Drosophila melanogaster: one gene and its partners. The protein of the gene in region 3 purifies or fractionates together with the protein of the main gene of each other region. This does not show direct contact. Each region holds a gene or a part of one and is shown on either strand. Other genes may lie near its edges.

The links.
Region 1: the proteins of Rnp4F (region 3) and CG9344 purify together in Drosophila melanogaster (affinity purification with mass spectrometry, with the first as the bait; one large-scale study listed by BioGRID). This does not show direct contact.
Region 2: the proteins of Rnp4F (region 3) and CG17768 purify together in Drosophila melanogaster (affinity purification with mass spectrometry, with the first as the bait; one large-scale study listed by BioGRID). This does not show direct contact.

The regions. Positions count from the first base shown.
Region 1 is NT_033778.4:20,974,717-20,978,752, reverse strand, and holds CG9344 (uncharacterized protein), read right to left. Parts: upstream 1,698-4,036; 5' UTR 1,599-1,697; coding exon 1,508-1,598; intron 1,437-1,507; coding exon 1,288-1,436; 3' UTR 1,153-1,287; downstream 1-1,152. Other genes in the region: CG15650 (uncharacterized protein), read left to right, coding at 516-554, 627-1,025; CG34115 (uncharacterized protein), read right to left, coding at 1,897-2,014, 2,073-2,158, 3,130-3,159.
Region 2 is NT_033779.5:10,402,002-10,407,591, forward strand, and holds CG17768 (uncharacterized protein), read right to left. Parts: upstream 3,203-5,590; 5' UTR 3,136-3,202; coding exon of another isoform or gene 2,828-3,135; intron 2,754-2,827; coding exon of another isoform or gene 2,610-2,753; intron 2,550-2,609; coding exon of another isoform or gene 2,384-2,549; 5' UTR 1,995-2,383; coding exon 1,992-1,994; intron 1,932-1,991; coding exon 1,890-1,931; intron 1,828-1,889; coding exon 1,729-1,827; intron 1,556-1,728; coding exon 1,235-1,555; 3' UTR 1,196-1,234; downstream 1-1,195. Other genes in the region: Cnot4 (CCR4-NOT transcription complex subunit 4), read left to right, coding at 1-332, 406-561, 630-769; LSm-4 (uncharacterized protein), read right to left, coding at 2,384-2,549, 2,610-2,753, 2,828-3,135; Ir31a (ionotropic receptor 31a), read left to right, coding at 3,751-3,898, 3,952-4,436, 4,498-5,301, 5,363-5,590.
Region 3 is NC_004354.4:5,318,163-5,325,379, forward strand, and holds Rnp4F (RNA-binding protein 4F), read right to left. Parts: upstream 4,535-7,217; 5' UTR 4,469-4,534; exon of another isoform or gene 4,388-4,468; 5' UTR 4,246-4,387; coding exon 4,228-4,245; intron 4,166-4,227; coding exon 3,657-4,165; intron 3,576-3,656; coding exon 3,400-3,575; intron 3,342-3,399; coding exon 2,397-3,341; intron 2,343-2,396; coding exon 1,836-2,342; intron 1,772-1,835; coding exon 1,651-1,771; intron 1,595-1,650; coding exon 1,492-1,594; intron 1,421-1,491; coding exon 974-1,420; 3' UTR 766-973; downstream 1-765. Other genes in the region: Sas10 (something about silencing 10), read left to right, coding at 1-628; Mcm3 (minichromosome maintenance 3), read left to right, coding at 5,835-7,193. UniProt on the Drosophila melanogaster protein: May be involved in gene regulation during development. Binds RNA.

The DNA of each region.
Region 1 (4,036 bases), on a different chromosome or scaffold from region 3:
ATGTTTCACTAATTTATCAGCTAATCACCTTACGAGTTTCGATTTGCATACATAAATTATGGAAACAGATGCTCCACATGCAGCTGGATGCACCGATCTTGGTTCGCCTTAAACAAAGCAGCCTCATTAAGATCCAGCGATTGTAATCAATCCAATGGTCGCCATGGAGTAATGAAGTAGCGGTGGTCATGTGAATTGATCCGCTGTGGTGACGAGCGCTTTGATTGGAACGCCTCTGGATGCGACATGCATACCAATTAGTGGCGAGTGTTACATTTGGCTGGGCTCTGGTGGACACCGCGTCGGGCGGAATTGGGCAATGCGAATCGGCGGCAATGGGATATTGCAACATAGTACAAGACCTGGGACCGATTGCAAATCGCTGGGCAGTCGGACATGGGAGGCAGCGCCATCGATGGGCCTGCAGTTGGCCGAATTTATTCAAATCAGTTGGATTCCGCGTGGGGTAGCGTATAGGTGTCGTCGTCTGCTTGGTGATCTTGGTGTCAATTGCAATGTGCAAATACGTATTAATTGCTGCACTGGCCGTAATGGTAAGTGGTCAATTAAAGCAACCATCCAGCCACCATAATCAGCCCATTAACATTGCCCTTGGCTGAACACAGTGCTCCTCGGTGCGAGTCCAAGCCACGCTGCACGATCTGCCCGGGGTCTTTGACTTCTCCAATGTGGATCTGGTGAACTTCCAGTACTTCAAGAACCTGGCATCGCAGGATCCGCGCACCGCCGCCACCGCCAATCCACTGCTGGTGCATTTTCAGAAGAAGAAGGCGGTGCTGGACTATCTGGACCGCCTGTTCTTCGGCAACTCTCCGTTCCAGCAGCCCAGCGAGATCCCCTTCGATCCGCATTTCGGTCGCTCCTGGCGTCCGGTCTACGAGCGAAAGTTTGGCTATCGCGGAGAGCGCCTAATCGCTGCCCTGGGATCGGGGTATTCGGTGCCACAACTGCGCCACTTTGGCGCCATTCCCCGCGAGTATGGCACACCGCACTATCCCAGTTGAGTGGGGATTGCAATTTAGCGCCTCTAGATAGTGTATTTATGGAATAAACTTAAGAAACGAAGCAACGAGGTCTAATGTATCGGGGGTATATCAAGAACTACTGGAATTGGTTTGTATACAGGATGATGAGAAGTTGGTTCAGCTTTAATATTGAAGTATGAAACACTTGTGTTGTCGCAGGTTCCCTCTGAAGGAAACAGAGGAATCAGAGTTCTCTAACTACGAACTTCATGGTGCCATGCCAGTTGAGACCCTCCTGTATTCAGACCCTCCGCTTCTGCGTGGAAATGTAGAGGACATTGTTGCCGCGGATGAAGGCGTCGCCGTACTTGTTCTTCAGCTGCCCATTCACGTACTCCTCCGTCTGCTCCAGGCAGATGTTCATGTAGCCATCCAGACAGGCCAGCACACCTGGAATTTGGTCAGTGGATTGGGAAAATTGTCAAATGTGATGAGTGTGTTTGGGAACTCATTGAACGCACCTCGATAGTCAACGCCGTTGTTCAGCTTTACGGCGACGGGGCGTCCGTGTATCTGATTGATGAACTGCGACAGGGCCTCTTTGCGGGACATTTTCAATAGATGATTTCAAAATAAATGCAGTTTACAAAACCTTTTGGCAGCAATAATAAATAACAAATGTGAATACAGTTGTTATTTTATGCCGGCAATGCTGCGGTCACACTGCAGGTTTGGTAAGGTTGCAACACAACATTTCGATGTGACCATTGCATTCGCTTCACCAAGAGCGCCATCTATTGTTCAAGTTGAGAGGAATTCAAAAACACTTTTTGGGGTAATAAAGAAAGTTTAATTTAAATAATAGAATACATAAATTACGGACTACATTGCATCTAATCGATATTTAGGACTAGTGAATGCCCTCCAAGGGCGTGTAGGTCTTGTATTGGTACAATTCCGGTCCGCCGTAGCCGTAGAGAAGTTTTCCGCGCCCGTGTTCATCGTAGTAGGGATAACGGTACTTGGGCCTGAAATATATTGTTATATAAATTCAATTTAATATAGTTTAAATTGACAATTGCATACCTTTCGAAGTACTGGAAGTTCGGTGCTTTTGGCTGCACTGTAGCAAAAGTTGTGTGCGCCACAAAGGCCACAATAAACAAAATTAGCTGGAAAGTAAAGAAAGTGGTTAATAAACATTAAATATTGGTTTGTTAAAAAGTCAATTGGGTAAAGTTAAAAATTCAATTTTTGTCATTTTTCTAAGCTCCATCTATTGGCGTGAAATTAATATTAGAAATAGTTCTCATAATGTTAGGATTCAAACTTATCGTAATTTATTTGAGTAAATTTATTTGAAGTTAAGAAGTAAATTATTATTATTAACCAAATGATTTAAAAATTTTAGATATCCAATCTAATTTTATTACGATTGCAGCAATTAAAAGCAGGGTCGTGCTGTAAGTAAAAGTACGATTTTAATTCGTTTTCTAACAAAAAACCACATCTATGTGAAAGCTAATTGAATTGGCTAAACTAGATTTAGGGGGAAGTTAGATATCACATTTATGCTCAATGGCTCACTGTGTCAGCTGCACGAAAGTGGTAATAAATGCGAGTGCGACGACGGCCAAGAAATCGCTTTCAGGCTTTTGAGTCAACTTGAAAGCAACGGTTTGTTGACGCCGGTTATGCAATTACACCAACAATAAAAGCCACGATGCGCAACTTGGCCACAACTCGTTGCCCGGAGATTATGACACATTTCGCTTGGCGTTCAATTTGGCCAAAAGAGAGCGCGGAAGAGAGCCAGATCGTGTCATTCAAGGTCTCCCCATTCCCATGGCCAGAGAGAGCCTTCGAATTTGGCCCACATATGATTCGAAAATGTGTCAATTGTCTGGCCGCCAAAAAGGAGAAACGAAAAAACTAAAAACAAATGGATTTTGAAAGAAGAACTGACGCGGGCTCATTGGAAATTCAAGTCACTATTTCCGAGCAATGCAGACGGTTTTCTTTTTGGGTGCGACTTTCGCGCAGAAAAGGCGGAAATTGTGTCAGTGGACTTGTGGGCTCCCCCCACAAGGTGTTAATTTGGCAGGTACACTCTAGAAACCAAATTTAACTATCTGAAACTTACGGGCAGCAGCAGGGCACTCAATTTAGCCATGGTTTTTTCGGATATTGTAGTGCTCAATCACTGGTGTAACGGTAAAGCTAAAGCTGCGAGCGAGCGGTACGAGGTTGTTAGCCGATCGCGTTTTGTTTGGCAACTGAATTGCATTGCCAGGCGAGCTACCAAAAGCCGCGCTCCACAAAGAGCGCGAAAAAAGCTTGGAAGAGAGCGGGAGCTTCCAAGCTTGGCTTAAAAAGTTGGGCTAAGACTTAATTAGCTATCTCTTATGATATTTGAAATGCAAGTTAAAGAAGTGCTATAACCAAGAATTTGCAAATTGAAAGATGACAAACTTAAACTAATAAATTTCCGATTATAAGAAGATACAAGATACTATACTTAGTCAAATGTAGAAGGTAAGTTATCAATAGGCATAGTTAATATTAAATATTACCATTTCAAGATTCAAAGATTCTCAATTTCAGTAAGAACAACATCATCAATCGATAGTTTTCACTTCTTTACTTAATCTAATGAGTCTGAAGATTTTGCAACTCATGGGGAAAGTGAAAGTCCTGAGTAAACAAAGCCTTAGCGCCAAATTTGCATAAATTAAGCCTGCCGGAACTATGTGTTTATAAACAAAAACTCTGGCTTTTAAAAGCCACCTGAGCCGACGCACGTAGGCTCTTTATTTCGGTTTGGGATTCCAAAAAAGAGACATACCAACTTTCGAAGAGCGTGGAAAAGAGTGGAAAAACAGCTGTTGAAGTGGGCAAAAATGGAATTGGGGCCAGATTACCAAAGTGGTTGTGGCCCGACTGGATGACCACCTCCGATCGAGATGACGATGGACCCATTATGTAACTTCTGCAGCCATAAAGAGTCATGCTTCGCCGGAGACAAAAAAAAAGAAGGAAAATAAATAGTT
Region 2 (5,590 bases), on a different chromosome or scaffold from region 3:
TAATAATGAGAACCCCTTGCCGAAGTTGCCGCCACAGCCTCAAGTTCCACCCCATCCGCAATTGGTGGACAACCTGCAGCGAGCTCGCATGCCGCCGCCAGGCTTCAATCACGTCAACACATTGGGCTTGGGCGGTGCATCCAGACTGCAGCTCACCAGCAAAATAATACCCTTCATGAACATGCCCGTCAATGGGGTGGGCAACAGCGGTGCCCAGGGACAGCACCAAATGCCAATGGGTGTCAACTGGAATGCGCCGATGGGCATGCACCAGAACCCGGGACAGCCCGTGGGTGATTCGCAATTGCAGCATCCAATGGCTCACAACAAGGGTAAGTAATTGAAATGATTACATTTTTTGGTACCGAGAAAACTGTTTAATCAAATTATTTGGATTCGCAACAGTTTACAACAACAGTGATTGGACTTCAATGGATCCGGCTATACTTTCGTTTAGACAGTATTCTTCTTTTCCACAAAACCAAATTCCCCCACATCCTCAGCAGCAACAGGATTTATTTTTGCAGCATTTGGCTCAACAGCAAAATTCCCAGAGTGGTGGTAAGTGGGGCAACCAAGAGTTTACATATCAACAGTCGATTAAAATGCATCGGATTGTGTACTTGCAGGTTTCAACAACCAGGCACAGCAAATGCTTCCTATGGGGATGCCCAATAGTTTGCTGAACGGACAACAAACGCAGCCGCCACAGGTCAATGCCAATGTTCAGGGCATGCTTGAGTTTTTAAAAAGCCGTCAATTCGTTTAGCTACAATACATATAAATAATACATTTGTTTACCTGTACTCTTTATTAAATATTTCTTAAAGTAAATATAGGCAAAATAAAATTCGAATATAATGAAACTACATGATACAAACAAACAGACGGTCCAGTGAAATTCAGCCTACTAAAAGCATTTGTGCAGCAAGCGAAACACTTGGATGCCGTCTCCCCGCGCCGGACGTGTCCGCATGAATCCAATTATAGTATCCAATAAACCCCGTTCAGGGTGTAGTCTGCTTGGCAATAGTGAAGCCCCCAGTGATTTTTCAAACTTGAAACCAACTCATTCCAATTGCTCGCTGGATAAAAGACAGATTACCATGGCAATAAGTAGCAAAGAAAACCTCGTGATGTGAAATTATCGAGACTGTGTAAAAATGTCAACTTTTTAATAATAAATACGTGACTTGAAATGGTTGAAAAGAATTTATTACTACGATCCGAAGAACTATTTCCTATTTTTGGCGGCGTGGGGCAGACGGTTCCCTTGGCCAGCAGCGCCACCCAGGCGCATCGCGTTGTTAGCAGCACCTCCGTATCCCTGGCCGGGACGATTGCCGACATTGTTGCGGTTGCCGCCACCAGGACGTCCGCCGCGCTGATTTTGCGACGAGTTGCCGCCGCGGTTTTTGTTCATCTCTGTGCGATTCCTTGACTTGGCCTGCGCGTCCTCCTTGACCATGTCGATTACTTCGTCGGGGATTCGCAGATATTTGATGGTGCTCCCGCGGATATAACATTCGGGCATGCGCCAAAACCGATCGCCATCCTGCAAAGTACACATACACATATTGGTATAAACAAGCTCTTCATGTTATCATTTTTCCGGCTGTTTACAAATCAATGCGATTGTATTTATGTATATACCAGTTGTCGCATATTTTGCACACCGGCAATCTACATATTAATTACATATACATACATATTTAATTAAAATATTACCTTTGAGGTGCAAATAACATCGCGCAGATTAATATTCATCCACGAGTCGCAACTAACCAGGTGACCATTGTATGTTTCACCATTTTTCAGCTCCACCAACTAAGTGAATTAGATTAAACAATTATGTGTATGACTAATGTGTGCAAATCCAAACATCTTACCATGGGATGGCTCTGTGCTGTTTTTAAAAGTGAAAGTGGCAGCTAAAACACATGAAAATTAATCATTTTTCTCTTTATTTACCATAAAATAATATTGCTTACCATTTTCGTGAAGTAATCGATTAATACAGCGATAACATGAAATCGGAAGAGATGTCAATCACTTTGTTGGAACGAAATGAATATGAAACACATGCTTATAAAGATAGCGTGTTCTGTTTTTTTTTGATTTCTTATAACATAATTTTAAATGGTAACCAAGAGAGAATGCTATAGTAGACTTCCCCGACTGTCAGATACCCGTTACTCAGCTAGTGTAAATTTCATCCTTTTTCTGGGATAATAATAGGGAGAAAAGATTTTAAAATTGTTTTGAAAGTGTGGGCGTGACCGCCTTGGCGGCTTTAAGGCGCTAGATTGAGTATGGCAAAAAGGACAGTCGGCGGGACAGTCGGATTAAATACTTCACCAAATGGATAAAAAAAACATGTAACTTATTTTAAAGCCAACCGGCTTTGCAATGACTGCAATTCATTTAGTAAGAGAGCAATATTATAGCGCACTTGTTGAAACATGGACAGTGGCAATTCTAAAGTTCGATATTCCTTATTTTGGAGCTTGAAGTGGAGGACTATTGTAGGTTTATCAATTTGCACGGTACTAGAAAATAAATTAGTAAAGTGAAGTAAAAATAAAATAGCGGTAAGGTTAAATACTTACTTTAATGATAAGGAAATGTTGATTCTCCATTGCAACTTTGACATTTTGACACGGTCCATTTTAGTATCTGAAAAGTTCTTGCTCAGTACGTCTCGATGGTTAAGCAAAACTTTGCAGATATCTTCAACATATTCTTCTGTTAAACTATTGACGAGATAAATAACAATTATGTTAGTGACGGTCAAGTTTTCCAAGTACGTATGCATTTGAATACTTACTTTAAATCGTCCATTAAACATTTTCGCAGCTCATGATGCTTCACCACGCCCTTGGGATATCTTAAAAAGATTTGCATTGTCAAGAAAACCATTGTAAAAAGTTCACAAAAGTTCGGAGGGATTTCGTGACCTCCATTTGTTAGTTTATTTAGTGCCAGGGAAAGCACTTCCGACGAAGACTTCTTTGATTCAATGTAGTGCACAGACACTTGAATAAGGACACGCAACATAGACTTAGTCAATTGCGGAGTGAATGAAGTGTATGGCTTTACACTCCTTAATAGATTATATCTAAACGTAGACGACATATTGCATACTCATAAATTTTGTACAAAAACATAAACAAACTAGAAATGCTACGTCTTCGATATGAGTTATTTTGATATTCGATGCTCACAATCGATATTAATCGTACTGTTTTTTTGTTTTTAATTAACAGAAATGGATTATTTGCATAAATTAAATTAAAAAGAAAAAAACTCTAGCTATGATTTTTGATATTAGCCTTAATAAAATAAGAAACTAAACATGTTATTTTGGCGTTTTAAAATTTACTGCAATTAGGTTACCCGTTTTGGTAAAGATTTTCAATAATTCGGTTGTTTATTAAAGAAATATTTACATATGTTATTACCCACTTGAATTTTGTTTAAATTACTACTAACTGGTTTAGTTTTGCCATAAGTGTTGGGAGAAGTTTACTTTCTCATTAAAAATTTATGATCCAATTTTACCTGTCAATCAAAGCTACACTTTAAATCAATTAAATTATTTCTGATTAGAGGGTATAGAAGCTGCATAGTAAATTATGAACCAATTGAAATTAGAATGGGTAATTAGCACCTGCAATTCATGCTGTCAATCAAACAGAAGACCTTACTATAAAATGGCACAACATTCCCAGCAGGATAAACAATAGTAAAATGAATCTCTTAATCAGTATGTTTATTTTAATACTAGCTGCAGGCGAGGGTGAAATAATTCCGAGTATGGAAGAATCCGTTGTAACTAATTTCGTTAAAAGTCTAGTAAAAACCAAGCAAGCAATAGTGTTTTCGTGTTTATTTAAAGGTAAGCAATGTGCTAAGTTACAATAAAGGTATTCATAATATATTTATTGATAGATTTTAAAGAAATCTCTCTTGCATTGATGCGAATTAATCAATTTGTGAGCGTAGTTAACCTTAACCAAAGTTATTCACTAACATCGATATTGACTCGGGAAAATTACGCTCGAACTTCTGTGATGGTAAATGCCAGATGCAGTGGATCATCTGAACTTCTTTTTGAAGCCTCTGAAAATAGGTATTTCAACAAAACCTATCAGTGGTTTCTCTGGGGTGTTGATCTCGAGGTTCAATCCCTATTTCCTTTAAATCTCAACTATGTTGGTCCCAACGCCCAGATAACCTATGTTAATGAAACCGCAGATGGTTATGCGTACTGGGATATTCATTCGAAAGGACGACACTTGAAGTCGAATTTGGAAATAAATTTAATAGCAACATTGATAAACGATACATTGAATATAGCTCGCGATATTTTCCATTTGCAAAGTATTGATTTTCGCGGACAATTTAATGGATTAACTCTAAGAGGAGCAAGTGTTGTAAGTAATGAATAAGTACTATAACTCATTAGATTTTAGCCATTTCAATTATGGATACTAGATCGACAAGGAGGATATAATCTCAAATGAACAAATTGAATCAATACTTTCGCGACCAACTAAGGATGCTGGAGTGGCTGCATTCATAAAGTATCACTACGAGCTTCTGGGACTTCTGAGAGAACGTTTCAATTTCACTGTTAACTTCCGAAATTCTAGAGGATGGGCTGGACGTTTGGGCAATACTACCTTTCGACTTGGACTCTTGGGAATAGTTATGCGAAATGAGGCAGATATAGCCGCATCCGGTGCCTTCAATCGAATTAATCGCTTTGCTGAGTTTGATACCATACACCAAAGTTGGAAATTTGAGACAGCTTTTCTATACCGCTACACTTCCGATTTGGATACTCATGGAAAAAGTGGTAACTTTCTGTCGCCATTCAGCGACAGAGTTTGGTTGTTCTGTCTATTAACCCTTGGTGCTTTTAGCATCATTTGGGTGCTATTTGAAATTATCGACTACAAGATATTGCGTATACGAGTTAATAGTCAAAAGCTGGAACATTTAAATCAGAAAAGTTCGGTGATTTGCATTAAGACCACATGCATTGAACGAATTTTACAGACATTTGGAGCCTGCTGCCAACAGGGATTGGACCCAAATCCTGTAGATCGTTCAGTGCGCTTTTTGGTAATGACACTGTTCCTATTCTCCCTGGTTATGTACAACTATTATACGTCTTCCGTCGTGGGCGGATTGCTTAGTTCTTCAGATCAGGGTCCCTCTACAGTCGACGAAATAACTGCAAGCCCCTTGAAAATATCATTCGAAGACATTGGTTACTACAAAGTCTTATTCCGAGTAAGTTCGTTGAAAACATTATATGTATATTTATATTACCATTACTCGATTTACTTAACAGGAGAGTCAAAATCGATCTATTACAAGATTAATAGAGAAAAAGCTGTCTTCGTCAAGAAGTTTAAATGAATTGCCAATTTTTAGCCATATTGAGGATGCTGTCCCATATCTCAAAGCCGGCGGATTTGCTTTTCATTGCGAAGTGGTGGACGCTTATCCGGTGATTTCAGAATATTTTGATGCCAACGAGATCTGTGATCTGCGTGAAGTCTCCGGTCTGATGGAGGTC
Region 3 (7,217 bases):
GGCGCTGCAATATGCCGGACTCTGCCACACCGTGCTCACCACCTACTGCTCCAATGTGGCTTTCTATCTGCTGCTCAAGGCACGTCGCATCGACGTCAAGGCCCATCCGGTGATTAGGCGGCTGGTGCAACTCAAGGATCTGATCGAGGAGCTTAAGCCGCGCTACGAGGAATACATTCGACCGCAGCTGGAGGCGCTGCTGGAGAGGATTGAAGATGGCGATGCATTCACCGTGCTGGATGTGGCACAGCGCAAGGCTAAGCTGCAGATACTCAACAAGTACAACGATGGCCAGCAGGCGTCAGTGAGCTCCGATGATGATGATAATGATGACGATGACGATGCTGAGAGTAAGGAGAAGGATCTGCAAGAGGAGGCTGGTGAGGAGGAGGAAGAGGAGGATGCGCGACGCGGCATCACCTATCAGATGGCCAAGAACAAGGGCCTCACGCCGCACCGCAAAAAGGAGCTGCGCAATCCGCGCGTTAAGCATCGCGGCAAATACCGAAAGGCGCTCATCCGGCGCAAGGGAGCCGTGCGCACGGTGCGCAAGGAGCTGCAGCGCTACGGCGGCGAATTGTCCGGCATCAAGGCCGGCGTCACGAAGAGCGTCAAGTTCCGCACCTAGTTTTTATCCAATAAATCCGCCAAGATCATTACATTTTAATCAACTCGATGTTTGTACACTTGAAACACCCATTTCATCCAAAGACTCACCGGGGATTAGTCAACTAGCTGTCATATGCGAAACAAACAAACATTTTTCTTCACTTGGTTCATCAAGAAACCAATTTATATGAGTCGAAACAAAAATCATTGTCTTACAACAGTTTTTCTCTTTGTACAGTGTTCTCCAACCTTGTCTGTTTAGGTTGCCTTAAATCTAAAAAAATATATGCTCCAAATCTTCGTCTTCGTCTTACAAACTAAACCATGGCCGCTGGCACCGGGCTCAGCCGCCGGCATTTGTCGCCTAATCCTTGAGAAATAGCTTGCGAAAGTCATCGTTTGACTTGGGCACAGCAGCTGGCATCTCCTCTTCTTTTTTCTCATCTCCCTTTTGCTCCACTCCACTTTGCTCCTCTCCTATTTGATCATCTCCTTTTTGCTCCTCTCCTTTTGGCTCCTCTCCTTTTTGCTCCTCTCCTTTTTGCTCCTCTCCTTTTTGCTCATCTCGTTCTTGAACATCTCCTTTTTGCTCCTCTCCATTAGCCTCGCGCTTGATGGCCACGTCGACGGATGCCGAAGTGGATGATATGTCCCCCGGCTCGGGCAGAAGCAAGCGCAGCTTCTTGGCAGCCACCTCTTGGCGCACCAGAGTCGTGGGTATAAGCGAGGTGGGCACACGTCGCTTGGGCGCCACACTTGGCTTGACAGCTGATGTGCCCCTCGGCGGTGGGTTTGAAATGGCCACAGAGATCTGAAAGAGTTGTGAAATGCATTTGCTTTGGTTGGTTCGGTTAAACATGAAGGCACACATCATTCGCTTACATTCATGCCCTTGAATAGACAACCATCTCGTCCAGCCACTGCTCGTTGCGCCTCGCCCGGCTTCTCGAACTCAACGTATGCAATGCCCTTGAACTGCTTGTTTCTGTAGAGGATCAAATAGTTTAAAATCAATAATTGTAATTGTAATCTCGCACTCACAGCTTGTGCACCAGGCGCACATCTTTGATGGTGCCGAAAGGCGAGAAGAGTTCGTGCAGCTCCTCCTTGCTGCAAGCGGGATGCAGATTTCTTACAAAGATCTTATTGATTTCCATGTTGGCTAGAAGAGAGACAACTAATGTAAGTCCTTGAAACGCATGTGTCCAAACGGCATGGCGACTCACGCGAATACTTAAAGTTCGATTCCTTGGCCTCTGCATTCGCTGGCCCCTTGACTTTCGATGGCGGTGACGTAGCTCCACCAGATGGCTCGGTTCTGGACTTCTTAATGCCATGCTTCTGCTGCTGCTGCTGTTGCTGTTGTTGCTCATGCGCCTGGCGACGTCGCTGCTCGCGATTCAGTGGCTCACGATTCGTTTGTTGCTGCTGCTGGCGCGGCTTAAGCTTCTGCTGGCGAGGATAAGCCGACTGTGAGTTGGGCTTAATGCGGGAACGCGGCTTCACATACTCGACAGGCAGATCGAGGGCCTGGCAGGCGGCAATGGACTCGTAGGTGCCATAGCAACGTTCATAGCGGCGAAAAAACTCCTGCACCATAAGGCCATTCTCGAGGACGGGCTGCGAGAGAGCTTTGCGAAGGACATCGCGTGTGCCGTGGCCACCATTGTATTCGCTTTCCATCTGGGCAAAGTTCAGCCAGAGCAGGCCGCGTATCGAGCTGCCCGGATAGCCTAAAGATGAGTAGTTAAAACATTGCTTATGCAATCATATTTCAAAGCGCTCACCCATTATTTGGCGCCAAATCTCACGGCCATTGTCCGGACTCCCCAGTTGCGTGTACTCAACTTGGGCCCACAACTGCAGCACCTCGTACCTGGTGTCCGCCTGGTCGCCGTAGAGCACGGTTAGCTCCTCCCAAGCATGATTGAAGGCGGCACGCAGACTGGCGACCTGCTGCTCATCGCTGGCATTGGTGTTGCGAATACGATAGGCCAGATAGTCCAGATGCAGCTCCACGGTCATATCCATGTCGGTCACAATGCGCTGCAATATGAGACGTATCTCTTCATCCACTTCCGCCAACTCAAAGTCCGAGCGCTCCATTAGGTCGAGGAAACGATGATTCAATTGTACACTGGGATGACTGCGCACACCACGATTGGCCAAATCGAGTTCCGTGTTGCGCAGAAAACCTTTGCCCAAGCGTTTGGCCCGTTTGGCTACCATTTCGGCGGTTACCTCATTCTCATCCTCATTCTCCGGCACAGTGACGCCTTCGAACTGAATGAACTCAATGTAGGATAACCAGAGCACATCGACAATGGGAAACTTGGCCACCGAGCGTTCGAATATGAAACGGATCACAGCGTTTTTGAGGTCATCGTCAAGGGATAATGTCTCCACATCGTAGACATGAGCCTTGTGTTGCTCAGACCAATCCCAACCACGCGTTGTCTCGTCCAGATGTTGCTTAAACTTGTCCACAACGGACTTGATCATCTGCCGCTGCTCCACGTTGCACGTCCAGGTGACGCAGTGCTTTTGCAGCATTTCCACAAAGGCGGCAGCCTCATTTTCGTCCGTAATTGTCGATATCAGCGAACGCAGCTTGTCGCCAAAGTCTGGACGCTCCACGTCGTAGTCCGCCAGCAGTTTGGCCCACAGCACATGGTTCTGTACGTTGCCCTGATCCACCAGGTAGTTGACAACGTATTCGGACAGCGGTATGCCTGCAATATGTAACTCGTCAATTGGTTTAACTACGAATGGATTCTATCTATCGCATACTGTAGTAGTAGCCCAACGCTTTGGCACACTGCTCCTCGAATGCCTTGCGCTCCTCGTCCGTTTGGGTGACGACCAGGCGGGCCTTTAGATACTTCAGCCACACGTGAGCCGGCACAGTGGCCAAATTTTGCAGCTCCAGCACCGATGACTCGATCTTTTCCAGATCATTCAGTTTGCTGCATTAACGAGCATCAACATTAGCTAATGCCGATATTGAAAAAATGGAAAATGGGAGTGGGAGAAGCAGGCAAACTCACAATGCGATTCCAATGAGCGAGACCATTTGGGCAAACTTTTTGCTGGGCAACGCATTCAGCTCCTGATACGAGCGCTCTAGCTGATTTCCGCCGCCAGCGTTGTCGCTATCACTGTCACTGTCACTGGACACCTCACTGTTCGATTCCAATTCCGAGCCTTCGATCACGCCCACATCATCGCTACTGCTGCTGGAATCATTGCGCGCTCTGCCACGGCCAGCGGCATTGCCTCCCTCAGTCTCCTCCACTGACGGCTCGTCGTCCGATGAGATCAACTCAATGGTGGTCATATCCCCGCCGGCGGACGACGGTGGCCAGGTTGGGCGCGATCGTTGGCGCAGCTCCTCCGACTTGTGCTCCTCCTCCTGCTGCGGCGACTCACTGTGCCCCTGCTGCGGCGAGCCCTTGCCCTGATCGGGTATCACGATCAGATCATACTCGTCATACGCATCGTCGTCCAAATCCTCTGCCGGCATCTCGTCCAGCTCCTTCTCCAGCTGCCTTTCCAGCTGCAATATATTGGGCATACGCATAAGGGCGGCGCCTATTGGAGCTATAATCTGACACTCACCTGCTTGTCGGCGTCCATGCTTCAACCGTTTATTTTGGTGGAAAACTTTTCGCTTTCCGTGGAACTGCAATTTTTCCCCCCCAAAAAAAATACAGGAAATAAAAAAACAAAAAAAAAACCGCAAACGCAGGGCTGGCCAATCTAATATCGCGTTGTTGCGCTTATCGTGGAAAATTATTTGGTTTCAGGTTTGGTTTCCCTATTGGGCACTTTTTCTTGGAAAAACTTTCCAAGCACTTACTTTCTGAGAATTCGGTTAACGAAAACTTATCATTTTCTGTCAAGAAACACCGGTAAAGTGTGAATAATATGCGAATTTTTTTTTCGTTATAACAGTGTGACCAGTGCGTAATATCGATAGCTGTGCGCACTCGATAGTTGCGGCAGTCCAGACAATGGCTGTGTTACCAGCAGTGCAGTGAAGACTCGTGATGAGCAATTTGAAGACTAATTTCGGTAATATGTGGTCAATATTAACTGGTTTCTTTGGGCGGTCAGAAATGTATAGCAAAGTCAAATGATAAACTAAATCCTACCAAGAAATATAATTTATTTTAAACATATATATATTTTATAGAAATAAATAAAAATGGAATTTATTTTACTTAAGTGCTATATATATATGTATCATAAAATGTAAACAATTTCTGTTTCTTTTACACAAACTATTTAATAATAATAAACTATTTAATACGCAGCCACATCATAAATGGATTAAGTGTAGACAGTACTCAGGCAAATAATAAAAATATTATACCATTATATGAATGGATTAAGTGTGGACAGTAATTAAGCAAATAATAAATATATTACTATATACTATAATACTATAATAGGAATTGATTAGGTGTAAACAGTAATAAGTCATATAATACATATATTGTATATATTATAGGATATAGTAATAATAATATAATAATAATTAGGCAAATAATAAATACAAATATTATACTATTATAAGAATGGTTTAAGTGTAATAATATTATATATTATATAATAATTAAGCAAATAATAAATATATAATACTATTATAAGAATGGATTAAGTTTAAACAGTAATTAGGCACATAATACATATATTGTATATATTATAGGAATGTATTAAGTGTGGACAGTAATTTAGCAAATAATAAATATATTTTACTATTATAGCAATGGATTAAATGTAGATATTAATTAGGCAGATAATAAATATATACTACTATTATAGGAATTATTTGATAGTTTTCTATATTGTATGCATTACAAATTAAGTCAGATGTTCGGTGGAAACGTTTTAATTATAAATTTGCATATCAACGTATATTTGCTTATATTAGTTAGTTTGCTATGTCCACTATGTTTTATATAATAAAGTTAATAATTATATGTAAATATATAAAAAAAGGAAATAATTATAGCATATATATTTTGCCCGCGCAACCAGTCTTCAAATGCCCACAGTATGGTCACACTACGCTTTTCCCGCGAAAAAACTTTGCATTCGGCGTGCAATTTGCGACATTAGTTTTGTTTGCATTTGCGTTTGCCTCCGAACGGATCGAAGTTGATCCATAAGCGAAATCGAAAGAAGTTTTGTGAACTCCAGTGTACAGCTTAAGTCACAGAATGGCCCACGAGGGGGAGCAGTTCATCAAGGACATACAACGCGAGTATGTGGACTTTCTGGACGACGAGGAGGATCAGGGCATCTATGCGGGCCACGTCAAGGATATGATCGCGGAGAAGAGCAAGCGCCTGATCGTGAATGTCAACGATCTAAAACGCAAGAATCCGCAACGTGCATTGGGGCTACTGAGCAACGCGGCGGATGAGCAGCTGGCCTTTGGCAGGGCGCTCAAGGAGTATGCGTCCACGGTTGATCCGGGCTATGCCAAAATGCATGAGGATCTGTTTGTCGGCTTCGAGGGCTGCTTTGGCAATCGGCATGTGACGCCGCGCTCCCTCACCTCCATCTATCTGGGCAACATGGTGTGCGTGGAGGGCATTGTTACCAAGGTATCGCTGATTCGTCCCAAGGTGGTGCGCAGCGTTCACTATTGCCCCAATACGCGTAAGGTAATGGAGCGCAAATACACCGATCTCACATCGTTCGAGGCTGTGCCATCTGGCGCTGCCTATCCCACAAAGGACGAGGATGGCAATCTGCTGGAGACCGAATACGGTTTGTCCGTTTACAAGGATCACCAGACGCTGACCATTCAAGAGATGCCCGAGAAGGCGCCGGCTGGCCAATTGCCGCGTTCGGTGGATATTGTGTGCGACGACGATCTCGTGGATCGCTGCAAGCCCGGCGATCGTGTACAGATTGTGGGCAGCTATCGCTGTTTGCCGGGCAAACGCGGTGGCTACACCTCGGGCACGTTCCGCACCGTGCTGCTGGCCAACAATATATCGCTGCTCAGCAAGGAGAGCAATTTGGACATATCGCGCGAAGACATCATGCTGTGCAAGAAGCTAGCGAAGAATAACGACATCTTCGAGCTGCTCAGCAAGAGTTTGGCGCCCTCGATTCATGGACATGCCTATGTGAAGCAGGCCATTCTTTGCCTGCTGCTCGGCGGCGTTGAGAAGATCCTGCCGAATGGCACACGCCTGCGTGGCGATATTAATGTCTTGCTTATCGGCGATCCTTCGGTGGCCAAGTCGCAGCTACTGCGCTACGTCTTGAATACGGCACCAAGGGCCATACCGACAACGGGTCGCGGATCCAGCGGCGTCGGTCTGACGGCGGCGGTTACCACGGATCAGGAGACCGGTGAGCGGCGATTGGAGGCGGGCGCCATGGTCCTGGCCGATCGCGGTGTCGTCTGCATTGATGAGTTTGACAAGATGAGCGACATCGATCGCACAGCCATTCACGAGGTGATGGAACAGGGTCGTGTTACCATTTCCAAAGCGGGCATCCATGCCTCGCTCAATGCTCGCTGCTCCGTTTTGGCAGCCGCTAATCCGGTGTACGGAAGGGTAAGAGTCCATCCGAATCCGTCT